Linked DNA regions of Rhinolophus ferrumequinum. The protein of the gene in region 2 purifies or fractionates together with the protein of the main gene of each other region. This does not show direct contact. Links are inferred from orthologs where the notes say so. Each region holds a gene or a part of one and is shown on either strand. Other genes may lie near its edges.

Region 1 (6,876 bases), on a different chromosome or scaffold from region 2:
GCTGGGGCAGTGCCCTGTGGAGGGGGCTGGGTGCCCCCACAGCCGTCAGCCTATCTTCTCTGGCTGCAGGGGGCTGCCAAGATGCTACTGGACTCAGAACAGCACCCAGGCCAGCTCAAGGACAATGTCTGCTCTCCTGGAGGGGCCACCATCCACGCCCTGCACGTGCTGGAGAGTGGGGGTTTCCGCTCCCTGCTCATCAACGCTGTGGAGGCCTCCTGCATCCGTACACGGTGGGTTCCTGCTGCTGCCAGCCCCCGGGCCTCCCGCCCAGTGCACCAGAGCCCTCAGCCTCACTCGTCTCCTCAGTCATCCACGCAGTGGATGTTTATCGAGCTCGGGCCTGACTGTGGGCAGGGCACAGGGAGCCCCGAGGTTCCCTGGCATATGGTTTGCAGTGCCCATCGTCCTGCCGGGAGGGGCAGCCCTCTGGGTGCTCACTCTGCTCCCCACGTGGTTTCATCACCGGTGGCCGTCAGACTGGGGTGATCATCCAAGCTGGGGAGGTGGGCCCAGGGGAACCAGAAGGAACCTCTGTGGGCCTGACAATAATACCTTTGTCCCAGCCTGGCTGGGGAGGTTAAGCAAGTTAGACAAGCAGGACGCGGTGCAGTGTGCTCCATGAGAGCAGCCAGAAAAACGAAAGAGCACAGACAGACACAGTTTGGTGTCTCAGCTCGGAGTTACTGTCCCTTATTCAGGTCTGAGGATGGACGGGCATCTTTCTCAGCCCCCGCCTGCCCTCCAGTCTAACCCCCCAGGCTTCTCCGAGTGCCACCACATGACAACAAGGCCAGAACACAGTGCTGCCCTGCTGGCCCCAACCCACAGGGGAGACAGACGAGGCACATATCCTGTGCTCAGGACAGTGAGGGCTCAGAGTCTGGGGGCCTGACACTAGATTTGGTGACTGAGCCGATTTGAATGAGGTGAGAGGGAGGCAGATAGCAGTCTAGGGGAGGGTAGCTGGCAGAGGGAACTGCAGGTGCAAGGGCCCTGAAGGGGGTGTGACAGCACTGCAGCACCCTGGGCTGGCAGGTGCCGGGAGCTGTGGGCCTTGACCCCTCTTCCCTCATGGGCACATGGGCTCAGGAAGGAGGCAGAGCCCTGGACCCAACCCTCACTGCCTCCCTAGGGAGCTGCAATCCATGGCTGACCGCGAGAAGGTCTCGCCAGCTGCCATCAAGAAGACTGTCCTGGACAAGGTGAAGCTCGACTCCCCTCCGAGGGCCCTGCTGGCTCCTTCTGGCCACGCCAAGCTGCTTCCCCGAAGCATGGCCCCGACCGGCAAGAAAGACTGAAGTGTCTCACCTGCCTGTCAGGCTGCCCGCCACCTTCTCTCTCCTGGCTCAGAGCTCCTGTGCTGGGTGTCTAGCCCCACGCCACATAGGGTGGCCCACTGCCCACGACTTTGGTCACCTGGGGTCAGCCAGCGTCATAGCCAGGGAGGGGCCACATCACTAGCCAATGGGAATCTCCACAGTCCCCTAATGCTTCCTGACCCAGAACAGGGATGGACTCTGACCTCAAACCTGCACTTCCTCTGCCCCAAACCAAATCAGGACCACCTTTCAGGAGCTCAGGAAGCGGGGTTTGGGGGCTTCACCTTTCAGCGTTAGCTGGTTTGAGGCTTGGCCTGAGCACAAAGGTCGAGGTTCCCCCTGGCCCCTGTGAAGGTCTAGCGAAAGGGGGGAGTCCCGCCCCACATCTGCTACTTCCCTAACCTCCACTCATGGTGGGGGCGGGGGGAACACCTCCTTCCTCAGTGTGGGAAGCACCAGAGGATCCCAGGCATTCTGAGTCCAATGGGAGGGACCACAGTTCTAGGCCAGCTCATCACCCCTCATCCCCATTTGACATTTGAGAAAAGGGCTCCTCAGACAGTTGGATTTCCAAGGCCACCAGCACTCTCAGGCCACTGTCCCCCATTCCTGACCTGAACCACAGACACTGTCACTTCTCTCCCTGGCCTTTTAGGTTAAATAAATTGGTTTCCAGCCCAGTGCCCTAACTTCTGACTTTGTCAGCATGTGTGGAGGGTGGCCTCCAGCTGCCACAGGGGGTCATTGCTGTTGGGTGTAATAGTAAAGGCTAAGCCAGTAGTCCCCGGGCCCCAGAGCCCTTAGTTCCAAGGTAGCTAGGCTGCCAGGGTTGGAGTCTCCCCGTGAGCAGAGGGGAGGGAGCCTCTAGAGAAGGGGATAGCTCCTCAAGCCCCAGTCGCTAGAAGTGTCTGGGAAGCTGGCACCATAGGCTGGGCTTGCTCTGCTCCCCACTGTGGGGGGAGCACCAGCCTCTGCATCCTTCACATCTCCGGGCTTAGTGGGGGCATATGTCGCCCCCACTCACCCAGGCAGAGGCAGTTGGAGCAGGAGGGCCGTAGAGAGCTAGATTAGGGTTCTCCAGAGAAACAGAACCAGTAGGACACGGAGATAGATAGTAAGTTACATATAAGAAAGATTTAGCCACAACTATGGAGGCTGGCAAGTCCAGTCTGCAGGGTGGGGCGTCAGGCTGGAGACCCAGGTAGCCGACATTCCAACTCAAAGGACAACAGGCCGAGAGAGCACCAGGCAGGTGGCGTCTAAAGGCAGGGAACTTCTCACAGCAGGGAGGCTTGGTCCTTTCGTCCCATTTGGGCCTTCAACTGGTCGGATGAGGCCCATTCACATTCCAGAAGTTAATCTGTTAACATCTACCGACTTAGATGCCGATCTCATGCCAAAACACCCTCACTGAAACAGCCAGAATAATATTTGACCAAATATCTGGTCACCGTGTCCCAGTCAATTTGACACAAAATTAACCATCGCAAGATCAGAGGAGTGACGGAGAGGACACTTGATGGAGCCAGAGTGCTTGCATTTGACATCAAAAAGTAGTCACAGAGCGTGAAGATAGTAAGAGGAGGCCCCTTGCCTCAGAGGTTGACACCACTTACACCCACCCCTGCTCTGGTGGGTTAGGGGACCTGGTCTGGGCAGCTAGGATGTGCCAGGGGCGCTCAGAACAAGAGGTGGGGTCCCCCAAAGGGCAGGAGGGTGGTGGGGATCAGGAGAGCTCCTGAGCGGGGGTTTTCAAGGAACAGCATTGGCAGTATCTCATCTCCAGTTCTCCCCTCCCCCTGGGCCCACTCAGAACCAAGACCCCGTGCACGCAGGTGGGCAGAGGAGACACTTTGGGGAGCCCTCCAAACGTAAAGGGAGACAGGAGACACAGAAGAAAATGCACAACAGAAAAAACCAGGGCCAGGGCTGCGTTCCCGCGTCTGCCAGGGTGGCCCCGACAGGCCTGGTCACTCCCCACGTACCCACTACTGCGGCCAGTGCTGGGCCTGGAGTCCATGCAGGGCCCGCCTAAGGAGTGAGTCCCCGGCAGAGACCCCCACCCTGGGCAGGTAGAAGCGGGCCTCTTGGACACATGGACTTTGAAAGTATCAGCACACAAGGGTCAGGAAAGCGGCCGAACCGGTCACAAGGCCCCACCTTGAAGGCCGGTGGGGGCGTGGCCGCCGGGGAGGGCGCGCCCGAGCCAGTCCCGCGAGACCCCGCCCGGGCAGGGGGCGGTGCGCGTTGCCGGGGCGACGGCGCCCGGGCACGCAGGCGCAGTCTGAGCGCGCTCCGCCTCCGCCGCCGCCGCCGCCGTCGCGCCTTCCCCTTTAAGCCCCGGCGGGTCGCGTCGCCGCTTCATGAATGGAGCCCACGTGACCAAACATCATGTGACGTCTGTGGAGCGGCGGCGGCGGCGGCGGCGGCGGCGGCGGATACCGAGCCTGGTCCGGCCCAGCCTTCCCAGCGCGCACGGCCCGGCCCGCGCAGGCGGCGAGCCCCCACCCCGGGCCCGGAGCCCCCGCGCGGCCCAGCCCCGCGCGGCCTCGGAGCGCCCGCCGCCCCTCGCCCCGGCCTCGGCCCGCCCGGGCCCGCAGTGTGGTGGGTGAGTGCGGCGCGGGCCGGGCGCTCCTGGGTTCGGGTCTGCCCCGCGCGCCGCTGGCGGCCCGTGCCTCGATTTCCCCATCGGGCAGGGCACTGCTGGCCCCCGCGCCCAGGTTCTGGGGGTGGGCCGCGGGGCGGCGAAGAGCGGGCGGGGCGTGCGCGGGGCTCGCTCAGTGGAGGGAGGGGCGGCCGGGGCGGCGGGAGGAAAGGGTGGGGTCGAACTGGGCGCCCAGGGCTCCGCGGAGGAGCCCGGCGGCCCGGGCCTGAGCTGCTGATTCATCAGGTGTGTGTCGCCGCCTCCCCAGGTGCAGGGGTCCTTGGCGGGCCCCGGGAGGGCTGGCGTGGGGGCGCTGGGAAGACCCAGCTCGCGTCGCTTTCGCTCCGTCACACGCGGGCCAGAGCCCCGAGGGAGACTTGCTGAGTCATCAGCATGAGGTCACTGGATGCTCATCCCGGTGCCCGGGGGATCTGAGCTAGGGGCCTGGGGCCTGAAAGGCGGGGAAACGAGGGGTGGAAGGGAACCGTGGGGACGTGGAGAAGGAGCCGGGCCCAGGGGCTGGGGCGGCTTTTTAAGTTTGGACTGAGGTGCGAGTTGAAGGCAGGGTGGTGAGGAGGAACTGGAGGGGCCACGGCGCGGTAGAAGGTGAAGCCCCTGGCCTGTCCATCCCTCCCAGGCATGCTCTTCTCCAGCGGCTGGTTCCCGACCCAAGGCTGGGACAGTTCTCCTAACCGGGAAATAGTTCTCTGAGTGAGAGGAGGGGAGGAGCTTAGGGGGGCCGTGCTAGGGGGCGGGAAACAGGCTTTCCCTGCGACTGGTCTGGTCCGCCAGTCTGGGTGCCCCTGGGCAGGGAAGAGAGGGGTACACAGGCCAGAGAGGGAGGCAGTGGGGCCTCCTGGAAGGAGGGGCAACGGGTAGGGGGGAGGAAAGGGTGGGGTTGAGCCAGGAGCCAGGGCTCCCCCAGTGAGCCCAGCGTAGCACAGCCTGTACTGGAGTCCCGGGGTGAAAGTGGACAGGGAAGGGGGCAAGCAGGCGCAGCGCTCCCAGGAGACTGCACATGAGAGGGAGCCGCACGACGTGGGCACTGGGGATCAAGGTGTCTGGTGAGCAGGCCCTGCCCCTCTTTGCAGCCCAGCCTTGGAGTCTGGGTTGAGGCTCTGGGTGGTGGTAGCGTGGTGGGTGCCTAGCCTGCAGAGCACAGCAGGTGGGCTGGGGTTTAAGAGTGCAGTTCCCAGTCACCGCTAGCTGTCTCACTTGAGGTTGGGGCCCAGTGTTGTGCAGGTTAGCGGAGAACGCGGCCCTGATGGGTTTTGGGCCAGGTGATGGCGACTGTTGGGAAGTGACCACTTGAGGGTCGTGTGGCCTGGGCCACCTCTCCTGGGTGTGTGGGTGATTGCTGGCTCGAGGGGTAGGGCAGTGTTTCGTCTAGACCAGAGCTGACCCTTCTTGCCTTGGGTTCATGGCCAGGCTAGGCTGGCCTTGTGGTTTGTTCTCCGAGTCACACGCACACACAGTCAGCCCTGCCTGGGCTTAGAGATGCCAGCTGTTTTAACTCTTCAGCTGATCTTTTGCCTGGAATTTTATACCCTAGGAAAGGGCAGATTTCTGGAGGGGTGTTGCATTAAGTCTTCTCAGTACATTAGGCTTCGGTGGAAGTTAAGTATTAGACTTTTTTCAGAGTGACTTTTAGTGGCTGGGGGCTTCTGGAGGAGGTGGTCTGATAGGCAGGGTGGGAGTGAGGCCCGGCTAGGTCAGGGTGCCAGAGTGCCCAAGGCCATGCCTGCCTGGAAGGTTTGGCCACTGGGGTTTGCAGGCCAGGACAAAGAGCAGAGGCTGGCTGTCTTGCCTCCTGCCTCGTGTCCATGCCTTGGAGTATGGGCCCAGGGGAAGGGGCTGGAGCTGCCCAGACCTCCTGCCCCTTCCTGACTGGCTCCCGGCCTGAGTGGATGGTCCAGGGTACCTTGGTGGATGCGGGCCGTTTGGGCCTTCTCCACAAGGTGGACTCAGCCTATGGGGGAGCTGAGGAAGGAGGATGACCGAGCCCCAGCTCTGGTCCAGCCTTTGGGGTGGGGAGGAGAGTTGTGGGGGGGCAGTTTCTTGATTTGGCCTCTAGGATCCCCTCCGCCTGGCTTCTAGGGGTGCCCTGAGCCATCATTCCCATGCCACCCCATCTCCAAAGCTGTGTCTGTCCCATCAGTGTGTGTCTACTGGGCGAGGCCAGGCCAGGAGGCTGGAAGCACTGGCTTTCCTGAGACCTGCTGCCCCTTCCCCCCTGCTCACACACACCTTTGATTAGGAGGCAATTGGCTGCACTGTGCTGAGTTCAGGCCTTCTGCGGAGGCTGAAATCTGTTGAGGAAGCACTTTTCTGTGTGATCTCTTCAGGAAGTCACCGCTGTGCTCAGCAGTCAGGGGTGGAGGGAGCATGGGGGTGGGAAAAGCTGGTGCTGGGGCTTTTCCTTTGGGCCGACAGTGGTAGGACACAGAACAGGGCCCCTACACCCCAGCTTGTGCACTGCCGAGAGGGCCTGGCCCAGGCTGGGCATGGGGCCCTGAGGACCTCCTCACCTCCAGCTGTGGTCTGCTCAGCCTCCTCTCTGGAAGAACTGGGCTCCCAGGGCTGCCTGAGTCCCTGGGCGGCCTGGCTGTGGGGAGACGCCTGTGGCCTCCTTCCTGCAGCCTTGCTTCCTGATGCAAGGCTGGGTAGGTGCAGTCCACCCTGGAGCCCACTCGTGCCTCTACCTCCCCAGCCCACACTAGCTCCAGTGAGGGTAAGAAGGCGACCTGGCCCAGAGTTACCTGAAGTGCTCCTCCAGGAGGGAGAACGCAGTCTGTCTTAGCCCTGCATCCAACCTGGAAAGTGGGGGGCACGGTATGGCGGCAGCTATTGTAGCCAGGATCCCAGGACTAGGAGTACAAAAATGTTTTTGGTGGGGTTTCAGGAAGCAGA
Region 2 (7,339 bases):
AGAATAGCTGACTGTGCTGTGTTTGAAAGAAAATGTCCATGATCTAGGTTTTCAATTTATACTGAAAATGGCCAGGTGATTCATTCAGAAGCAAATACCTGCGTTGGACCTGCTGCTCTGTTATATGCTTTGGGGCAGAAAACAAGTCAAAGTTGTGCCATTTAAGCTGAGACCTAACAGGTGAGGAGTTAGCCAGCTGCAGAGCAGAAATCCAGGGAGCAGTCACAGCATATGTAAAGGCCTTGAGGGGGGAAGGAGTTTGGCGCCGTCCCACACCCCCGCCCGCCCGACCCAGGCAATGAAGCATCAGCAGGCTTTCCTAAACCAAAAAAAAAAAAAGGGGGGGGGCTTGTAGGGAATGAAGGTTTTGTTATTATTTTCAATAATTGCAGCTAATATTTAGTATTTGTTTGCTATGAGCTTGACAGTATGCTAAACCCTTCACCCTTATTATCTCATGTAAACCTCACAACAGCCAAGTTGGCTGCTGTTGTTATCCCTGTTTTACAGGTGAAACGAGTGAGAATAGCAGCTTGCCCAAGGTCATTTACGTAGTTAGTAAGTGGCAGAGCTGGGATTTGAACCCAGACAGTATCTGATTCTAGATCCGGTGCTGTTAGCTACGTGGCTTGTGCTTTCAGTGCTTGAGGTGATGGTCTATTAGTGGTTCTTGAAATTGAGTGGATCACAACTGGAATTTTTTTTTTTAATAGAACACAGTAGAAATTAGAGTACTTGGCAGTAGTAAGAATAAAATATTAATATGTGGAACTTTGTTTCACTTTTTTATTTTATATAACTATATTTGTACGTGGGTAAGCTTGTAGGCCGTTGCAAAAAGAGCTACTGATGGCTTGGATTGTGACAGGACAGATGGAGAGAAGTGGATCTCAGTGTGGAGAGGAAGACCGCACCAGGTATCCGTAAGATTGGATACAGGGGCTGAGTGTCGGGAGGTGGCAGGGGAGTCCCTGGTTTCTGGTGGGAGCAAGGTCAGTCCTGCTTTGCGTGTGCTCAGTCCTCTTTAAAGGCGTCTGACCCTTCTTAGAGGGGACATCCTGGTAGCTGTTTCTTTTACTGCCTGATTCTCTCGCTTCTCTCAGCTGCAGCGGATAGGACCTGGGGTTGGCATATCATTCAAATCTGTGTTTTACAGCAGATCAGGAATCTGGCTGCGAACGTATGAGGTGATCTGTCACCCCAAACTACTTAAACGGGGGTTGAGCCAAGAGTAAATTCTCTCTCTGGAATCGGAGGTGAGTAGTGAGCAGGCCACACAGGCACACATGTGGGCTACTCACAGGCACACATGTGGGCTACCAGTAGCCCTCGAGTGAAGATATGGGGTTGTTTTTGCTGTAGTCTCTGTGGGACCCAAAGAACTTGTAGGTTCTAGTGTTGAAGAGTCAAGAGTCCTCTTTCTGAAGTTCAGGTCCAGTTCATTTGTTCCTGGCTTTCTGTGAGGCCCATTTTCTTATATTCATGCATGATGTTTTAGTAAAACCTGGCTGGCTCTTCACATTACTGCCAGGGGTCTCCAGACTGTGCATTCAGCAAATGCTAACTAGAAACACAACATGGAGTACTTAAGTGCCAGGTACAAATCCCCCTTCTCCATCTGAATGGTTTTTTGACCTTGGTCAAGACACTTCTCACTGAGCCTCAGTTTCCTTCTCTGCATAGTTGGGTGATATGAGAGCGTGGTGTCATAGGTTGTCTGAGAAGTCAGTAAGATACACTATAGTATCCAGCACTCAGTTCAGTGCCTAGTGCAGAATTAGAGCTTACTAATTGCTGGTAGTAGTTGGTATTTTTAGGATGGTTCTGGAGAGACTTAAACATGTTTATGAACAAAGCTTATAGGAAGGAGCCAGGAGAGAGGGAGAAAGAGAGGGAGAGAGAGAAAGAGAGAGGGAGAGAGAGACGGGCCATAGAGAGGGTGTTAAGAAAAGATATTAGATTCCAGAGAAGCAAGGATGGTATGAGATCAAGAGCAGACATTAGCTCTAGACAATTAGTGGATTGTTTTCAACAGGAGGAAACCTGTGGAGGTGGTAGAAGGGGCGTATTTTCTGAGCTTGGATCCCAGTTATGGTAGTCTACTGGGAGAGATGCTTACTGAGGAGAAAAGTGGTGACTCGGAGGGCTGTTGTGAATGGCAGACAGGGACACACAAAGTAATTGATGAACAGTGCTGAGACCCTGAGATTTCATACTGTTAACGTATAGTGACACCAGTCTGCATGTCTTTACAGTTTTTCCTGGCTGCGCTATGTTCAGCAGAATAACAAGATGTAAAAGTAAGACTAGTATAGTTTTAAGAGTTTGCATGACAGATGTAGGAAAGAATAAGGAGGCTGGGTACTTGGGTGCAGGGACATACCATGTTTCCCCGAAAATAAGACCCAACCGGGAAATAAGCCCTCGCATGATTTTAATGCATCTTTTGGAGCAAAAATTAATATAAGACCCAGTCTTATTTTTGGGGAAACACAGTAGTAAGGCATGTGGTCAGCTGTTGAGTCCTGCTTGGCTGGGGATGGTGACAGTCTTAGAGACAGTGGAGGGTGGTGGTCTCTGTGTTACCACATGCACAAGGTACATAATTTCTTTGAATGATGGTTCTTCCATACTGTTCCTTGTGTTGATAACTGAAATATTAAGACCAATTACGGCTCTTTCATATGGTCACACCCCAAACATTGAGTTAGTTCTAGTACATAATTTTGAAGTTGCCCCAATTTCACGTGGTATGCTGAATCAGTAAATAATAGGTTGTGATCTAAGTCGGATACAGTTTAAGCACTTAATGAGAGATTTTATTTTCATTGACTACTTCTGAGGAACTTAACATTTCAGCTATATTGAATACTTTAAAAATAAACACACAAGTAGAATAGAGTGTTTAGATGCATTTCATGTGTTTGTGACTACAACAGCCTGTCTTTGAGGTGGAATTCAGCCATGATGTGGGCCTGGTCTGTCTGAACTTTGGTAGTCCTTATTTCTCCTTTCATTTGTACTTGGAGTATAGTGAATCGGAAAATAGTAACAGTTTTTTTCAGTCACTGAACATTTGAGGACCTTCGTGTTTCAGGTAGTAAGGCGTCAGAACAAAAGTCAACGGCACAGAAATGATACCTGGGAGGAGCCCGTCAGCTTCCCTCAGCGTGATCAGCACGCCATAGTAGGGTACACCACACAACTCGGGGTGCCCACTAGCCATTGGGGTCTAGAAGAAAATATTAGAGCTTCTCACCTCTTACTTTCAGCCTCTGCGTGCTTTAAAACATTGTAATATGTAAGAATAGTGCATTTCTGAAATGTATAGACAAACTTACATATATGTATTGCTTGTACATACAAGCTCCTTTTTTTGCAGGTAGTGTGTATGTAATCAAAAAGTGTTGGGAGGCTGCTATATGTTTATATTTTTAAAAATACACATTTTTGATAACTTTCTCTTATGATTTCACATTTTGAGAAAACCAAGAGTTTCTATGCATACTGTGTTTCCCCAAAATAAGACCGAGTCTTATATTAATTTTTGCTACAAAAGACGCACTGGGGCTTATGTTCATGGGATATCCTGAAAAATCATGCTAGGACTTCTTTGCCGGTTAGGTCTTATTTGGGGGTAAACACGGTAGTAATCCACGTTCTGAATGGTGAGGTACTTGTCCTTGTTGCCCACATTTTGTAGTATAAGGTGAGACTCGTTACATACAAAGACTCATTAATAAGATCTGGCATGGCAAATTTCAGCCTTTTTCTCAAGGAAGTTGTTTGCTTCTTTGTGTTGGAGGAAATTGACCTTTTGTAGAATGTGTCCCTTGTCAGGAAGCACCAAGTCCCCCTACCCCTGTGGGACACTGGGGAGTGGGGCATGGAGAATGGTGGAACACCGCCTGCCTGCTGCACTCACTCTTCAGTCCCATTCCAAACCGCAACCATCCAGGACCCACACCCCCCCCATTGACGTCTTAGAGCAACAGGAATGGGGCGCCACCCAGAGATTCCCTGGCCCCACTTACTTGCTCATTGTAGGTGTTTTCTCAGTATGAAATGTCTTTCAGAGAGCCATGTAATCCTTGGTTCAAAAACTTTCCTCCCCCACCCTGAGAACCCTTTCCCTAAAATTAGTTAGAAAAACTATCAAGACCCCCTTTGAAGTGAGGTAAATTGAATAAATGCTCCTAGATTCTCTAGAGGCTTTTGTTTTGGTGATGAGTATTTTAATTTATGTTTGATACTGTCATTTTTTGAAACAGTTTTAACAAGATTTTACTGAAACGAAATCGTGCCTGTGTGCCTTTGCAGGTGTGAAGACGATTAGAAGCATGCTTTCACTGCGCTGCCCGGCACCATTTGTCACGCAGAATGTCTCTGAGTGAGAGCCCGGTGTTTGCCTATGAGTCTTCGCTGCACAGCGCCAACGTGCTGCTCAGCCTCAACGACCAGCGGAAGAAGGACGTGCTGTGTGACGTCACCGTGCTCGTGCAGGGCCAGCCGTTCCGCGCGCACCGGTCCGTGCTGGCGGCATGCAGCAGCTACTTCCACTCGAGAATCGTAGGCCAGGCCGACGCAGAGCTGCACGTTACTCTACCAGAAGAGGTGAGAGGCCTGTGCCTTCCAGAATCACCCTGATTTTAATTTAATGTAACTTAGTTAAATCTCTTACGGTTTCTTAAGTTAAAAATAAAACAGTCTCCTTGTCATGCGGCTCAGGAGCAGTTTGCAGGTTCTGGAATGACACATTTCTTTAGGTTTTTAAAAATAAAATTATGACCTCTTACGTGTAAAATTATTAATTTTGAATGTTCAAACTGTTTATCGAGCAGTTAAATTACTTGACCCACTGTTAGGACATTTGGAGAGGTCATGCTCAGAGAGGCAGCCTGTGTGCCATTCTCTCCCTTTGGACCTTTTCCTGTGATGGAAAACTGTGACCGGGTTTAGGGTTATATAAGTTACACCCCAAGACACGGCCTCATGGAAAGTAGGTGCTCCATAACTGTGCTCTTTCTCTCCTCTTTCTCCTTTCTTGAAGATGTGTCTGTTCATTGGTAGAAAAAAGATGGTTCTATGCTATATTTATAGAGTGCTGTTTTTACACATCTCTTTCCACCAGCCTGGTGTGGAGCTCCAGCACCTAAACATTTGGGTCCTTATTAACGTCCTGCCTCCAAGAGACCTCTCTCTGGGCTGGCGAATGCTGGTTACACTGACCCGTATTAGAACAGCTTTGGTTGGTTAGTTAGTAACTGCCACTGGAACAGCGTTGAGCCTTGTGGCATTGGGATACAAATTAGAATTTGTTAAGAGGAATTTGGAGAAAGTATATAGGACTTCTTTGTGTACAGCAGGCCTGTGTGGGCTGCCCTGTGATGGATACGAAGGCCACGTTGGCCATGCATACTTCCATGAAATCGTATTTGCAGGTTGGGGAATCAATAGATTGTCAGTTCCGTGGTAGAGGTCGGAGCGAGTAATACAATAGCAAGAAAGTGACAAGGAAGGCCAATGATAGGTTAGTCATTGTTCCTAAAATGTAGCTGTGCGTATCGTAATGGACATATACTTCGTGTGGTCTATATTTTCAAATTACTTAATAAGACTTTCTAAGTAGATCAAAGTTTCATTCATGAGTACAGGAGAAAAGGTGTGTATGTGCATTATTCATTATAATTTGAGTGTAAATCCTATAAGTTTTCAAATATTTAAAGTGTCTCATTATTTAAAGTGGCAGATTGAAAATATCTTTACATAACTAACTCACTATCTTAAAAGCCTTTTTTTGGCTATTTTAACTTATTTTTAAAAAATTAATTGAAATTCAGAAAATGCAGAGAGATCTCTTGTACGCTTTGCCTAGTTTCTTCCAGTGGTAACATTTTGCAAAATGATAGTATAATATCACCACCAGGACATTGACATTAATACAGTCTGCCCATCTTATTCAGTTTTCCCTGTATTAAGTGTGTGTGTCTGTGTGTGTGTGTGTGTGTGTGTGAAGTTCTGTACAGTTTTGTCCCCTGTGCAGGTCCATGAATCCACCACCTCTTCAAGATACTGAACAGTTCCAACACCCAAAGATCCCTTGTGTTGCTCTTTTGTAATCACACCCACTTCCTTCCCACCTTCCAACCCTTACCCCGGCAACCACTGATCTGTTCTCCTTTTCTAAAGTTGTCATTTCAAAATGTTATGTAATTGCAATCATACGGTATGTGACCTTCTGAGATTGGCTTTTTTCCATTTACACTTACCCTTATTTCTTTTGAGATTCATCCAAGTTGTGCGTATCAATAGTTTGATCCTTTTTATTGTTAAGTAGTATTTCATGGAATGGATGTACCAGTTTTTATTTAAGTATTCACCTATTGAAGGAAATCAGGCTAATTCCAATTTTGGGCTACTATAAAGTTGCTATGAACATTTTATGTGTGTATAGGTTTTTGTATGAGCATAAGTTTTCATTTCTCTGGGATTAAAGAGCAAGAGTGTAATTGTTGGGGCATATGGTAATTGCATGTTTAGTTTGATGAGAAACCACCGGACTCTTTCTCAAAGTGGCTGCACATTTTACATTCCCATCAGCAGTGTATGAGTGATTGAGTTTCTCCGCATTCTCGCCAGTATTTGGTGTTGTCACTGTTTTTTATTTTAATCCATTTAAAAATTAGTTAAGTACGCACAGCTTAGAATATTTGTAAGAAGATCACAAAAATTATAATATCTTGACCACCCTTATAGGTACTCTGTTTTAAAATTGATTTTGTATTTTTAACCCAGGACGAGGCTTTCTCTGCACTTTGGTATCTTCCATTGCCCCTCACTTTGCAGAGGCAAGTTCCATGTAAAAGTACAAGTTTCCACTTAAAGAGTTTGTTACCTAGAGTCCATGAATCTTTGCTGAAACAGTGCTAGGCATGATTTTTAAAATTTCACTGTGGTCACTTTTTAGATTTGAGTCTTGAAAATTTTTATTAGAAATTTTTGGTGTTTTACCATTTACTGTGCATTTGCTGTGGACCGGGACTACTTTAAGTGCTTTAGATATAGTGTTTTTTATCCTTAAAAATTTCCCTTTTGTAGTTTATAGCAGTTGGAGTTTGGAACATAGTGGTCTCGTGGAGCTAGGCTGGCAACAGGCACCAGGCACTTGACTTTGTATGTGTTACAAGTTGTGTCCATCGTGCTTTGTTTCATAGATTATTTATTTCAGCCGATGTGGGGAAACTGTGATAATGTTTATGTCCTAATTTATCTCATGTGAGTAAGCCGTAATTCATGTGTCAGTAAGAAGAAGATACAGTTCCCGTGAATAGGGTGTGAT
Region 3 (7,213 bases), on a different chromosome or scaffold from region 2:
GCGCTCTCTTCTCTGTGGACCCCTCCTTGTAACCACCCTGGACACGTCTCACCCCTACGTAACCCACCCTCCTTCATGGTCCCACCAGAATTACTGCTCATAACACCGATCTGATCATGCCCCTCCCCTCCCTCTAAACCTTCGATGGCTCTCCACTGCTCCTCCAAGTAGAGCGTACCTCGGTTTTCCGACATCTCCATTGGCAAACATTTCGGTTTACGAACGCCATAAATTTTATGGATTTACGGTATCATGAGATAGTAAAATTCATGCTAAATTTGCAATTTTAGGGGTTGACTTTAAAGGTCTGGAACGGATTAATCCATTTTACGTTACTTTCTATGGGGAAGCCATGCCTCGGTTTTCGAATGTTTCAGAACTCGAACCGTCTTCAGGAACGGATTATGTTCAAAAACTGAAGTACCACTGTAATGTGCAAAGCTCTTGACAATCTGGCCCGTTTCCCCCTTCAGCCTCCTCTCCCACCGCTATCCCTCATAGATTCTCTGCTCCAGCTGTGAGGAACTCAGCTGCCCCCCAAACAAGCCAGGTCCTTTCACACTTCTGGGCCTGCCCCTGTCCTCTGGCCTGGCAAGCCCCACCCGTCCTCCTGGACTCCGCTCCAAGGTCACCACCACACTGGAGGTTTTCTTTCTTCAGCCCCTCCCCCACTACCTGTAGGAACCTCCTCACGCTTCCCAGCAGCAGACAGTCAACTCTCAAGAGCAGGCAAGGATCATGTCCTTCACCTGTGGCCCCAGCTCCTCGCACAATGCCGAGTACATACTAGGCACTGAATAAGCAAGTAATTAGCTACATAGCAGACACACTGAAAACACTCATCAGATTTAAAAGTATGTACCACGTTTATCAGTAAAAATCACCCAGGATCCAAATACAGAAATCTCAAAGCTATGAGGGTGTGGCTGGACTCGGGCAGAGAACAAAGCAGGAGGTTCTACCCAGCAGTGTCAGGATTACACAATGCCCCCAGGACAAAGGACAGCCTTAGCACCAGCCTAGGGCCCCTTCTAAGGCCAACACATGAGTTTATGTACAGTTTTCCCTCTGGCGTGAGCTCCAGTGCCCCTTCACTAGCAATAAAAATTGGAGGGCAAGAGGCGAAGGCAATCCCTCTCTTTCAAGGAGACCCGTTCATCATTTTTCTCAAGTTCCAAGGTCCCAAGTTCTCGTCCTGGAGATAAGTAAGCTTTGGGAATGAACGTAAACCTAGCCCACATTCGAGCCTGTTTCCATCTTTTTACTCTTCCTGCTGAACCCATATATTTCTGCTGCATCAAAAGGACCCTGAGCACACCCAAAGCTCTGCAGGACTGATAACCGGCCTAGGTGGAGACTACACCTGCTCCTCCAAAGGCAAGGCACTAGCCTATTGTATCCCCTACTTGCTACAACCCCACCGGCAGGCAAAGACTGGGGAGATTTGGGGTTTGTTCTTGGACTTGGCTACTTCAATGCACTTGAGTAGCCTCTCCCAGGGGTTACTTGATGCACAGATATCATAACCCAGGCACACTCAGGTACCATCCCTAGCGAGTCTGACCATGGCCTGAGGCTTTACCTGCCATGTCCCTGGCACAGGCACTGCCAGTCAGCAAGCAAGGTGGCGGCTGACCATGGCTCTAGACTAAGGTGTCTACCTCCGTAATGTCTTTTTATCAGCCCCACCCACCTGTGTGCTGCATTCTTCCTCGCTGATCCCCAGGTACCCAGCACCCTGCTGCAGTCTCATCCTGGCTGGCAGCGAGACAAGACTTCCCAATGCACCCCAATACCATGTCACACTAAGAGTCAGACAACTACCAACACCTACTGTGAATAGAGACCACCTAATGCAGGGGTATGGGCATTTTAGCAGGCCACGGCTAACTGCAGCATCCGCCAGCGGAAGGAGAAGCCACCCTCTTGCCCCACCCATTCACAGAAGGAGCAACTTTCCGGCCAGTCTGGCAGAAGGGAAGGGGACAGAGCTCTCACTTTGCCACTCTTGTACGCATTTGCTTTCTACAACCTAAGACACATGGAGGTGACTAGCAATAATAGATTCCTAATGCCCCAGAGTTGTCTCTGGGGACAATCTTTCAGGAACTTTCCCCCAGGTAATGAGCTTCTTAGGTAATGCAGCTCCTAAGTCCCTGAATTGGGATCTGGTGCTGGCTGACAGCCAGGAAAGTTGGCAATCTGGTTTGGTTTAACTGAAATTTAGAACTAGAAGTATTTCTGGTCCCCTCTCCCAGGGGATGTTTATGTTAGGAGATGGAATTCGGGCAAAATTGGCATTCTTGGCGACCGAGACGTCTCCCACTCTCCCCTACCATAAGGAGTGGTTGGGGGACCAGAGATCCAAACGGTAACATGCAGGATGGGGCGAGTCGGGGACCCCGGAGCCATAGGCTCGCGCTCCCATGAGGCCTCAGTACCCCATTTTTGACGAGGGTCTTCTGTCCGACCGGGGACCGAGGCGCCCCGAGGGGACGGGGCCGGGCCGCTCACCTCTCGCGCGGAGCGGAGTTGCTGGCGCAGCGCGTCCTTGCAGCCATAGGGGCCGCTGGCGCCCGCGCCGCGGGGCTGGAAGTGAGCCTCGACGCGCGTGGCGCCGCGGTAGGCGCCCTGGTAGAAGGCCGGCCAGCCGAGCTCCAGCATCGGCGGCTCCAGGTCCGACTGTTCGGGGAAGTAGGTGCCGGACGAGCAGTCGTGCGACGAGGCGAAGGAGTCCTCAGTTCCCCCCGCCGCGCCCTCCTCGCGGGGACGCTCAGCCGTGAGCAGAATGGAGCGCACCTCGTCGGGGTTGAGGAAACTACCCAGGCGCTCGCGTCGTAGGAAGGCCGCGAAGGCATCGGGGCCGCCCGCCACCAGCTCCTCGAGCGCCAGGCGCTGCGCCTCGCTGTACAGCTCGGCGAGGTTGGGCGGCCCGCACGGCGACAGGCAGGCGGTGGGAAGATCGTCCAAGCCCTCGGAGAGCAGAGCCATGACGGTAGTCGGACCCAACCAGGCTCGGGCAAGTGCAGACCAGCAGGCCGCTTTATAGGCACCTTTGAATCAAACTGGCCCGCGCCATTGGCCGCCCCGCCCGCCCTGGCTCTCCCATTGGCTGCCTCCCCATAACGGCGGAGGCCGGACGCAGCGCACGCCCCTTCGGCCCGCCCCTCGTCGTGCATTGGCTGCCCTGCGGCCTGACCCCATCCTACGCCTCCGCTTTGGCTGCTGACTGCAGTCAACCTCCAGCTTTAGTTAGGGGTGACTTCACGGAATTTAAATTTGGCGACTTGGTACCGAGCTCCCTACGGTCTGCAAGAGAGGGGATGAGGCTGAGTGGCCGCGCGGCCCGGGGCAGTGGCGCCGGCTGCAGAATCCGATCTGAAGCCTTAGAGTCCAGCCCCCGCCATCCTAGAGCGCCCCCTGCCGGTCTGCCCTAAGTCGCGGCCCTACAAGGCCCGGGGCGGTCAGACCTAGGCACCAGGAGGGGAGGCTGGCGCCTGCTCCCGAACACACTGCTGCTCCTGGGCTCTCAGAACTGGGGTGTGATGAGCCATGTTGCCTTTATCCCCTGCATTTAATCATTTATTCATTCATCCAAAAATACCGGTCCATCATAATAGCTGCTCCTCTGATTACACCCTCAGGTAGCTTTGTCTTCCCGTACTTCATCGTTTTTTGCCTGACAAAACTCAAATCCTGTTAAAACCCACTCTCCACCTACTTTCCACCTGCACGCAGGCAGCCATACTCGTACAGTGCTGGAGAAAAGAAAGCACAACCAGGCTGACTGGTGTGCCTTAAATTTATGATCTTAGATGGGCCCTTAACGTTTCCTGCTAGCCTGTATTTCCCTCATTCACCCTTTCCTCTCTCGTTAAGAATTTCTGTCCTATTTCACTGAGAAAATAAAAGCAGTCAGAGAGAACTTCCACTTGTTGTACCTGCATGCATCCTCATCTCTGCCTACATACTGGGCCTTCTGTTACTATCCATTAACTGTCGCTTCCCTTTAGGCTCCAGCTACCAGCCCTTCTAGTACTGACCTCTGTCTCGCCAGTAATTCTCTCCTCTCTCCTGGATCATCCATTTCCCTTCTTCACTGGTTCATTCCTATCAGCATTTGAACATGCTGAGATATTTTTCATGTTAAAACAACTCTCTCTTGACCTTTATTATTCCTTTAGAGTTTCGTCCCCGTTTTTCTGCTCAGTTTGATAACATAAAACCACAAATGAGTTTTCTCAACGTGCTCTGTCCAGTTTTCCTCCCATTCTCTCTTGAACCCTGTCCAATCCAGCACATGCCTCCTCTGCTCTACCAAAACCTCTTGTTAGGGTCATCATCAGCTCCACAGTGCTAAACCCAAGAGTCAATTTTCAGGCCTCACTTTGTGTAAATGAGAAAGCATTATGTATAACTGTAAAGTGCTTCTTAAATGGGAAAGGTTACCATTATTATTTAGAAGCCAATGAACTTTAAAAATAAGTGAATGGTTACTGCTGCAAAAATACCTGTGTTCTTCCCATCCTCTTCCCATCCCCAGCCTGTTTGTCAAGTTTTACAAGCCCAAGTATGAGGCTTTCCATGTGTCTCTGCTCTGGCATCCACTGTCCAAAAGGGTCCAAAAAAGCACTCTTTCCATCCTCTTCCAAGATACCAACAAACGTCTGCAAATGACAGACAAGGACCATGGTCTGGGGCTGTACAACCACATAGTTTGCCTCTGTTGTCTGAGGGGAAAAGTGAGAACAACCAGGGTCCCACCTACTGTGTTGTAATAATGTGAAGTAGTGTATAGTATTTTACCTCCTCACTATAAGCTGCATAGGAGAAGGCCTGGGGTGGGTGGGGGAGAAGAGGATAGGCCAGGTCAGTGCACTCTGAGAACAGAACAGAACAGAAGAGGAGCAGCCCTGTTACATGAAAATATGTCATCAGACAAACCTTTGAAAGTATAAAAGTATGAACACACACACGCACATACACACACAGTGCCAAAAAAAGTATACACATTTTAAGGAAAACTGTATTAAAATTGTAATACTCAATATATACCGATAACAAAAGATGAATACAAGTCACGTTTGACTTCTGCAATTACAAGAGGTGCTCAGAGTGGTTACCATCAGCATCCAGACACTTCTGATTATGGCGAATTGCTGCTTGAGCAACATTGACCAAAGTGTCCACTTGTATACATTTTTTGGCACCCCCGGCATATATATATACATATATACACTTACACATATGCACACACATATACATGTATACACATTAACATGGAGTCCTATAGTACCATATATATATATGGGACTCCCAAAGGGAGTATTGACAGAGTGAAAGATCATTCCCAACCATCCATCTTTTCTTGAATTCCCCAAATTTCACCATCTCCCAGTCTAGAAAGACATCTGCTATCTGCTCCATGTCTGAGACTTCAGAGATCCTTCCATTTCACGGGCCTCCTGGGAGAGCCTTCTTTGGGGGGGGGAGTGCAGGGATCCCCCACCTTCTACCCCAGGTATCATCACCTCTTTGTGAATTCAAGTCAGCACAGTTCAGGTGAGCTCACAGCAATGACCACAGGCACACTAGCCAGTGTTATTAAAAGGAATTTAATAATCTTAATTAAAAACTCTTAACAGCGAATTCCGTCACAGGCCTTGGCAGCTGGAAGCAACTTCAGGGGCGTGCCCCTTCGGGATGTGGTTGGGCCACAGTCTACCTGGTGAGGCGCTACCTGGAAGTTACTTCAATACAATATCAAAGATCCGCGAAGATTTTTTTTAAAAAAGTTTTAAATATATTAGACTCTCTTGATTGCCATTTTTACACAAAGCTGCTGATACAGTATACAGAGTTTTAACTTTTTTTCACATAAAATACATTTTTCTTAAGTATTCTCTGTACATCAGTGGCTTCTGGTCTGGTGAATTATTGCGGAGGGCTGGGGGTCTGCAGACTTGTCCCGGTGTGCAGAGCCAGGCCCCGCACGCGGCACTTACATGCCATGGGAAGCAGGCCCTCTGGCCAGCTGGCCAGCGACAGACTCCTCTTGAGGACAGGGTTATAGCTTGTGGCAAAGAGGGCCACTTCTGTCAGGTTATCCATGGAGCACATGACCCTTTGCTCTTATGTGCCCTGGGGAAGGGGAGGCTGTCCCCAGGCTACAATAGCAAGAGTTAAATATAGTCTTGCTGAGCATCTGGTAAGAAGCGCCTTCTGGAAAGTACCCAGTGCCCTGCTCTGGGAAAGCAGGTGGGAGAGAGAGCTCAAGATCAAAAGGTACCTGACTGATAACCCAAATGGTCTCGTGTTATTACAAAGCCAGCAAACTGTGGTGGGATAGGATGGGGCCACACCCATGTTAACTTTCTAAGCCCGTTTAAATGGGTCAAACAGTGCAGTTTCATCAATTGCCAGCTTTCTCCTAGCTCCTTCATCCACACCTGCCTGCCAGGAAGAGAGGCAGCATCATGAGGAAAGGCTTTGATGTTAAAGGAGAAGCTCCTTCTCCTCCTATTAGCCTTCGGTGGGGCAGGAAGATACATAAGAAATGAGCAAGAGACAATGAGTTTAAGAACCTGAGATGTACAGGGCAGTAAATTCCAGACTCTGTATTCTTCTAGACACTGACCTCAAACTGCGGGTACACAGTGCCCCAAAGAGGCTGGACTGAAGGCAGCTATCCCTGAGAGTTCCAGATGGACTTGGGATGGTGTCTGCCTGGAACCCAAGATCCAGCATCTGCGTTTAGTGGCAAATGTCATCCAGGAGTGGCCATGACAGCTGTTTCCTGGCTTAAGGGATTCATACTCTAGGGAGTCTAGGAGCTGAAAAGCAAAGGGATGCTGGATCGGATGCAGTCACTCTGTCTCAGGTGAATTGAATGGCTGCTGCTGACACATATGGTTCTCAAGGGATAAAAACTGTAACGAACAGTCTCCTCACTCTATCTTGTTCCTCCTTTTTCCCCAGACCCTAATATAGTGCCTGGTATTTCACAGCTACTTAATAAACTACATGAATGGATAAATGGATGACCTTAGCCCCAGTTCTTCCTTCAACACCTAAGAGACCTACAGGGAAAGTACCCCAGGTACTTGAAGCCCTAATAGGGAATAGTTTATCCCTTACTGACAATGTGAGCTAGTGCCCAAGAGTCTGTAATTGGCTCCTATCGGGGAGCTGGGCTTCCCAGCCTTCTGGGTGG
Region 4 (7,467 bases), on a different chromosome or scaffold from region 2:
CAGCAGGAAGGGCTTTGTGAGAAGGAAAGGTTGAGTTATAAAGACACTGAAATGTGATAAAAGGACAATTTTTTTTTTTTTTGATAGTTGGTTTATTTAGCAGTGGAGAAAAGAACCAGGAAAATATATATGATGCAAACAGGTCTTAGGCCCTTAGCACAGTGCCTGGCACACAGGAAGTGCCCCATAAACACAGTAATATTAATAACTATGTAGTAATAGCAATAAGCAGTAATAAGAAACTGGTAGGAGGTATGCAAAGGTTGGAAGCGCCCAGAACAAGGTAAGGTGCCAGAAGGTGCTGAAAGAGATCCTTCTGACATCACTCCCAGCCAGCAGGGGGATCCATGGGAAATGTAGGACCTGGCCCAGCTGATGGAGGGCTGTCCTGCTGAGGTGGGCAGGGAAGGCCCAAGCGTCTGGGGACAGGACCTCATGAGGGCCCAGAAATCAAATCTCAAGGCAGGAAGGGCCTCCATGGAACACCCAATGGGAAAATCTTCAAGCCAACCCTGGTCTCCTCCACCACAGCCCAGCTTCTAGCTGTCTTACAGTGGCGGACACACTGCAGAGTCAACCTTCATTTAAAGAAAGTTTACTGTGGTTTGAGGATGTTTAAAAACCACTGACCTAATCCTACACTCTCACTGGCAGGTAACTGAAGCCAAAGTGAGGAAAGCCCTCTAATGGGGTCAGCCAGGGTGTGATCTGAGCCGCAGATCCGGGGCTCGGGTCAAGCTCGTCACTGTTACTGAGCACCTACTATGGGGCAAGGCACCTACTGTGGACCAGGGTCCCACAGGGACGTGCTTGGGTGCTGTCTGGTGATTTGGACTCCCGGGCAGGTGAACAGGGACCAGCTGGGCCAGTTAGAGTTCTGCTGGCAAAGAGCAGCTCCATCCCAGAAACTGGAAACAAGGTTCCTCTCTGTGGCAGGAGGTGGGGTCTCTCCAGGATTAGGTCATCGCTGGCTTTGTGTCACTCACCAGGGAAGAAGCAGATTTCTCAGAGGGAGTGTCCCAGGGGACTCCAGCGGACTCTCTCTAACCCAATATTTATTGCTCTTTTATATCATACTAGGCACTGTGCCAAATGCTTATAAGTGGGAACATGTTAAATTGTTTCACAATTCATGAAACAGGCACTGTTAATACATGAAGTATATAGCCCCTTCTACAAAGGAGGAGACTGAGGCAGGGAGCGGTGAAGACAGTCAGCTGGTAAGGGGTGAGGCCAGGATTTGAGCCCACGGGCTAACTGGAGAGCCCCTGCTTTGGAAGGAAAAAAACCCAACTTTTTTATTTAAAACAAATTCTTAGGAATAATAGAGAATTTCTGTATTGTATTCTTCCAGATCCCCCAATTGTTAATATTTCATCGCATTTTCCTTATAATCCTCTATCTGTCTGTCTGTCCATCCACTCATCTATCTATCTTGCTCTGAACCATTTGAGAGTAAATTGAAGACACGATGACCCTTTACCTCTAAACACTCCGGTGTGTATTTCCTAAAATCAAGGACATTGTCTTACATGACCTCAGGACAATGATCAAAGTCAGGAAATTAACATTGATACAATACTATAATCTACAACACTTATTTGGATTTTACCAATTATCTTAATAATGTCCTTATAGCCAAAGGAAATCCTGAGTTACACATCGCAATTAGTCATCATGTCTCCTTAGACTGCTTTAATCTGGAATAGTTCCCCGGTCTTTCTTTGTCTTTCATGATCTTGCCTCTTTTTTTTTAGCATTCCGTCCAATAATTTTGTAAAACTTCTTTCAATTTAAATTTGTCTGATGTTTCCTCACACTTAGATTCATTGTATGAATTTATGGCAGGAATACCAACAGAAGTGATGCTGTGTCCTCAGGGGATCATTCAGGAGAAACTCATGTCAATTTGTCCCTGATATTAACTTTTGTCACTTAGTGAAGGTGGTATCTTACAGGTTTCTCCATTGCAGAGTTATCTTTCCATTTGAATTAATAATTGGCTGCGGGGCAATACTTCGAAACTACCGTATGTAAACATGTTTGTCATAAAATTTTCTTATCCCTTGATAATTCTCATTGGAATCCATTATTACTATGGCGATTACCTAATGGTCATTTCTAACTCTATCATTCCTTCTACTGGAAGGAGGAGCTTTCCCTTCTCCTCATTCATTCATTCAATCATTCATTCATTTATACTTGTATGGACTCCTGGTTTCTTCTCTTATTCAATAAGTTGTAATCCATAATTACTGTTATTTATTTTGATGCTCAAATTGTCCCAGAGTTGGCCAGGAAACCCCCTTCAAGAGAGAGCTCCCACTTTTAAATATGACATTGCACCATATTCCTTAACCTTGACCAAAAATGGAGCCACATCTGTGGGATAAACAGTCCCCATTGGGTGGATACTGAAGCACTGACCCCCTAATGCAGGCAGGCTGGGGATGGGAATAAAAGATCTAGGCACCATGGTGTCCAGGGGTGTTGTGCAGTCCAACTAGTGGGAATTAGTTCACTGGATGAGCACCTGCTATGGCTTCAGCCCTTGAGAAGCTCATAGAAAATGGAGACCAACAATCACAATTGTACAATTTCTAAAATCCAGAACTTTTGTACCCAAATAGGTAACATGAGTTGTTCTTGTAGATATGTAAATGTAGTGCAAGTGGACAATTTGGGGGATGGGAGTGGGGAGGGGTTGTTTGAGTGCCAGACAAAGCTGCCTTATCATTTGGTCACTTGGGAAGCTAGTGGGCCAATTTGCATATGAAACCCAAGGCCTTTGCGAGATAAGAGATAGATGTCACAATCCCAGTTGGACCAAGGCTCAGAGGCAGGAAAGCATAACAAGGGCTCTGAAATCAAATTATATTATATCAAGGGAATGGGGAGCCTTGCTGGTACCCAGGGTTCCACCCAAAGACCTAGCTGGGGAGTTCCTATGCCTTCGGCAATAAAATAAAGTAGATGCTCTGATGTCAGCTTCACAGAATAGATGGCTCCTGGAGTGACGACAGACATTTCAGGCACTGGGACCAACATGAGCAAAGGAAAGGGAGAATAAACAGCAGTACTCCCCATTTGGCCCTCAAAGCTGCCTCTTCTGGGTAGGGCTCCAGACATTGAACACATCCATCAATTTATGCTGGGCCCTACCTAGTTGGGCATAGCCCCAAACATCTGGACCAGGAATCAGTCAGACCTAAATTTAAATTCCAGCTCTTGTACTTCCTTGCTGTGTGACTTAGGAAAGTCATTTTACCTCTCTGAACTTCCACTCATTTATTTCCTCAACATGTTCGCACAGGGATTACTCTGTGCTGAGCATGGTTGTAGGCACCGGACATCCGTGGTGAACAAGATAGACAAGGTTCTACCCTCATGAATCTTACATCTGGTTAGGAAAGACAGACACTAAATAGTAAGCAAATACATAAACAAGACACCCTATGGAGATATTAAGGTTATATAAAAACAAACTTTAGAGTTGGGGGTTCCTTTAGCCAGGGAGGTCAGGAAAAGACTCTCTGAGGCAGAGACAGCTGAGCGGACCTGAAAAATGGGAAAGAGCCCAGCAGTAAACAGAAAAGAAAATAGCAGGTGCAAAGGACCTGTGGCAGGTATGAGCTTGGTGTGTGTGTAAGAAGGGCAGTGTGGCTGCAGAGTAGTGGGTGGGGGCAGAATGACAGACAAGGCTGGAAAGTTAGCTAGGGGCCAGATGGCTTAGGGCCCTGGAGGCCAAAGGCAGGAATATAGTTTATATTCTAAATGCACAGGAAGCCAGTGAGGGTGTTAAGCCAGAGAGAGGGTGGGAGTGTGTGAAACAGTCTGACCTTTGCTTTGAGACGAACACTGTCTGGTGTGGAAAGAAAACTCTTAAGGGCAAAGTGGGAAACTATCAGGCGGCTGCTGCCATAGTCCAGTTTCCTGCCATAGTGCCTGGATCCGATGGTAGGGTTGGGGTTGGGAGAGGTGGTCAGATGCAGGACAGGGTTGGAGGTAGGTACATGATGTGGGGAGGAAGGGAGAAAGACAGATGGAGCGATGCTCCAAGGATGGGGCTTGAACTGCTGAGATGGGAAAAGCTGGGGGGTATGACCAGGAGGTGGATTTTGGCTGTGTAGTTTGTAGTCCTCATATGGCACCCACGTGGAGGCTCGCAGCAGAACTCAAGACAAGATGTTGTGCTCTGGAAATACAAATTGGTGGCTCATGGGCATATAGATGGCATTTAAAATCACGGGACTGGATGAGATCATCAAGGCAGAAGGTGTAGGTCGAAAGGAGAAGAGGCTCGGGACTGTCGACTGTAAAATGAGCCAAATGACACCTCCACCCACGCGGCTCTCGCAAGGTGTCACGTGAACTCATTTAGCCCGCGCTCTAATAGAGGTTGAGAACCCCGGGGCGGGGCCTAAGTGGGGCGGGGCGGGGCAGGGGCGGGGCTCAGAAGCCCAGAGGCCGCTCCCGGGCCGAGGGGCTGCCGGGGAGGTGACGTCACCGCATGACTGGGTTTTTATGAATGAAAGGAATCCTGTGAGTGAGTAATTCCGGGAAGCTCGCCTTACAACTCTGAGCGGCCCACCGCGCCGCCCGCCCCACAACAAAACTCGGTGCGTTGCTCCCAGGAGCCTGGCTCCGAGCGACCCGCGGTCGGGACCAGAGGGAAGACGGACCCGGGCGCCGGCCAGGACAGTAGCCCGCACAACAGCGGGACTCGATCGTGCCAGGAGCGCCAGGCGAAGCGGGCCGAGAGGCGGGTGAGGTACGCGGGTCCGGGAGGGGGCCAGGCGCGCGGGGCCCCGAGACAGCAGAGTCTCCGCGCCCTGGGAACGTGCTTGGGGCGGGGCGCCGGGGCCCACTTAGTCGGTGCTCCACTGTACCGATCGCCCAGAGGGCTGGCGTGTAGTGGGGGAAGGTGGGGACAGAGGTCGGGGAGACCGAGACAGGACGGAAGCAAGCTTGCGGGGGGGGGGGGCAGGAGTGATGGGCCCCTTCTGGGGGCGCCGGGTGGGAGGCGGCGAAGCAGAGCAGGAAGGGGCAGTGCGGGCTAGCGAGCGTCAGCGTCCGCCGAGGCGGGGCTGGGGGGGCGGTGTGTGCAAGTACGTGACTCGGTGAGAACAGTCCCTGGACCGGTGCCCGTGAGCCGGGCGTGCGCGGTTTGTTTACGTCCGAGGGCGGGCGTGCGTGTGTTCCCTGGCCTGCGTCCCGAGTATCCTGCCTGGTGCGTGCGTGTGCGGTGTACCGTGGAGAGAGTGCGTGTGTGTGTGTGTGTGTGTGTGTGTGTGTGTGTCTACCCGCCCGCGCGCTCACTGGCGGGTGAGGACCCTGGGGCTTGTGTTCCAGCGGTGCATACCTTGGAGAGAGTGTGCCCCCATGAATAAACGCAGAATAGGGACCCAAGCTAGGGAAGCGGCCCCGTTCGTGGTCACACGGGGTCCGGGAATTCTCGCCTGGGCTGTCCCCTTTCCACCAGCCGGCGGCGGCCGGGTCCCTGTTCTCTCCGGAGTTTCCCAGGGCCTCGGCCATGTGACCTGTGACCGCGGTGTTTGTCCCCCGCCCAGAACCGGCGCCTGCAGCCCCGGGGTGGGGTGAAGTATCAAAGACCCGGCCTAGCTGGGCTGGTGGTGAGGCGAGGAGCCCACCCCTCTCCCCAGCGCCTGGAGGGCCGGCACCCAGGTCCTTGTCCCAGGTTTTCCTGGCTGCCTGGGGAAGGCAGACCCTGGGACTCTCCTTCATCCCCAGGGTCTCCCGTCCCCTCAGTCTCAGGAGAAACAGGAAGAACCAGAAAACCCATGGCAAAGTGAGGTAGAAAGGAATCCCAGGCTTCCTCTATTTGGTGGCTACTCTGGCTGGTCTGGGTTCTGGAGCTTGTACCTGCTAGGTCTGGGAGGGTGGGACAGAGGATGGGGCGGAGCTGGTTTCTGTCCTGCTGGTGGTTTCAACTACAGGTGGGACTAGTCACACATACCTATTGATAGCCGGACCTGAGCTACTAGTTGAGGGCCTGGGCCAGGCGGAGTTCCCAGAGTCCTCACTCTGGGCCAGGCCTGGTCAACCGGCAGTGGGACAGGTGGTCTTGGTACTCAAAGGGTTAATGTGCGAGTGGTGGGGGCCCAACCTAGTTCTAGCCCCCCTTTATCAGCCCTGCAGAAAGCTTCCCTGTAGCTCAGTAGCCTGAGGCACGGGCTGGGGGCTCGGGAGTCCTTGGTCCTATCCTGCCCTCCCCCTCTTCTTACCCCTAGGGTTACAGAATTATGGGGGGCAGGCAATTGAGCTTGCAGTTGATCTTTCAGTTTTGAATCTTTGAGCCCTGGTGAGCTCTGCTACCACAGCAGGAACCTCAGTGTCCCCATATGTAGCAGAACTAGGCAACATCCAGGTGGCAGAATGGGGGAGGTACAGCAGCCTCTACACAGAGCCTGTTTTCCAGGGGAACTGTGGCAGAGAAAGCAGAGCCAACACCCCCAGGCCGAGGCCAGGGATGTCCAGGAATGTGTGGGGTACGAGTACAGGAGAGGGCCACCAGGAGCACAGGAACCAGGCAGGCCCATCCTTAAAGCTGGGCAGGAAACATCTCTGTGTTTCCTGAGGGTCGGGATGAGGGGAAGCGGCTGATTGACTCGCCGATGGAAAGCTAGCACTGAAAGGTTAAACCTCCCATTGGATCACCCCTGGGCCTTCACTCGGGCCTGGGACCCCACGTGGGGTCCCCTGGCTCCTGTGCCTTTCTCGGTCCTGATGCTTTTAGCCTGAATTGCTGTGGAGCCTGTCATGGGCCAGATGTTGGAGATGAGACAGTGAACAAACGAGACCCAGAGCCTGCCCTCTGGGAGCTTGCAGTCAGTGAGAAGAGACAAAGTTGCAGGAACAGCTACCACACTAAAGTAAAACCACAGCTAAGATGGGTGGTATGAGGGGGAAGTTACTGTGGTTTGAAAGTATATAGAACAGGCATACCTCACCTTATCGCGCTTCGCAGATATTGTGGGTTTTTTACAAATGAAGGTTTGTGGCAACCTTGCGTCAGGCAAGTCTATCAGCGCTGTTTTTCCAACGGGCTCAGATGATGGTTAGCATTTTTTAGCAATAAAGTATTTTTTAATTATGGTGGGTATATTATTTTTTTAGACATAATGCTACTGCACACTTAGACTTCAGTATAGTATAAACACAACTTTTATATGTATTGGGGAACCCAAAAATTCATGTGACTTGCTTTATTGACATAGTCACTTTAACGCAGTGGTCTTGAACTGGACCCACAATCTCTCTGAGGTATTCCTGTAACAAGACAATCAAGGAGGGGTTCCCTGAGGAGGTGACCAGTGAGCCAGGTTGTCAGATCGAGTGATGATTGTGAAGCCCTTCAGGGCAGGGGCTGCGATTCATCTTTGGCCTTCAGAGCCTGGCACACAGTAGGTGCTTCTTGGTGTTGGCTGATTGAATGAATGAATGAGT

What was found.
Region 1: the proteins of BACH1 (region 2) and MAFG purify together in Homo sapiens (affinity purification with mass spectrometry; 5 studies listed by BioGRID and IntAct, counting the BioPlex papers as one, with this or other methods). This does not show direct contact. The link is inferred for Rhinolophus ferrumequinum from reciprocal best matches to the Homo sapiens genes BACH1 and MAFG.
Region 3: the proteins of BACH1 (region 2) and FAM83D purify together in Homo sapiens (co-immunoprecipitation; 3 studies listed by BioGRID and IntAct, counting the BioPlex papers as one, with this or other methods). This does not show direct contact. The link is inferred for Rhinolophus ferrumequinum from reciprocal best matches to the Homo sapiens genes BACH1 and FAM83D.
Region 4: the proteins of BACH1 (region 2) and MAFF purify together in Homo sapiens (affinity purification with mass spectrometry; 3 studies listed by BioGRID and IntAct, counting the BioPlex papers as one, with this or other methods). This does not show direct contact. The link is inferred for Rhinolophus ferrumequinum from reciprocal best matches to the Homo sapiens genes BACH1 and MAFF.

Annotation. Positions count from the first base shown.
Region 1 is NC_046304.1:54,701,860-54,708,735, reverse strand, and holds the start of MAFG (transcription factor MafG), read left to right. Parts: upstream 1-3,876; 5' UTR 3,877-3,930; intron 3,931-4,126; exon of another isoform or gene 4,127-4,212; intron 4,213-4,862; exon of another isoform or gene 4,863-5,030; intron 5,031-6,386; exon of another isoform or gene 6,387-6,697; intron 6,698-6,876. Other genes in the region: PYCR1 (pyrroline-5-carboxylate reductase 1, mitochondrial), read left to right, coding at 70-233, 1,136-1,301. UniProt on the Homo sapiens protein: Since they lack a putative transactivation domain, the small Mafs behave as transcriptional repressors when they dimerize among themselves.
Region 2 is NC_046285.1:96,011,916-96,019,254, forward strand, and holds the start of BACH1 (transcription regulator protein BACH1), read left to right. Parts: upstream 1-4,323; 5' UTR 4,324-4,380; coding exon 4,381-4,614; intron 4,615-7,339. UniProt on the Homo sapiens protein: Transcriptional regulator that acts as a repressor or activator, depending on the context. Binds to NF-E2 DNA binding sites. Plays important roles in coordinating transcription activation and repression by MAFK.
Region 3 is NC_046306.1:17,395,220-17,402,432, forward strand, and holds the start of FAM83D (protein FAM83D), read right to left. Parts: upstream 3,007-7,213; 5' UTR 2,992-3,006; coding exon 2,515-2,991; intron 1-2,514.
Region 4 is NC_046293.1:8,823,941-8,831,407, reverse strand, and holds the start of MAFF (transcription factor MafF), read left to right. Parts: upstream 1-4,458; 5' UTR 4,459-4,766; exon of another isoform or gene 4,767-4,771; intron 4,772-7,467. UniProt on the Homo sapiens protein: Since they lack a putative transactivation domain, the small Mafs behave as transcriptional repressors when they dimerize among themselves.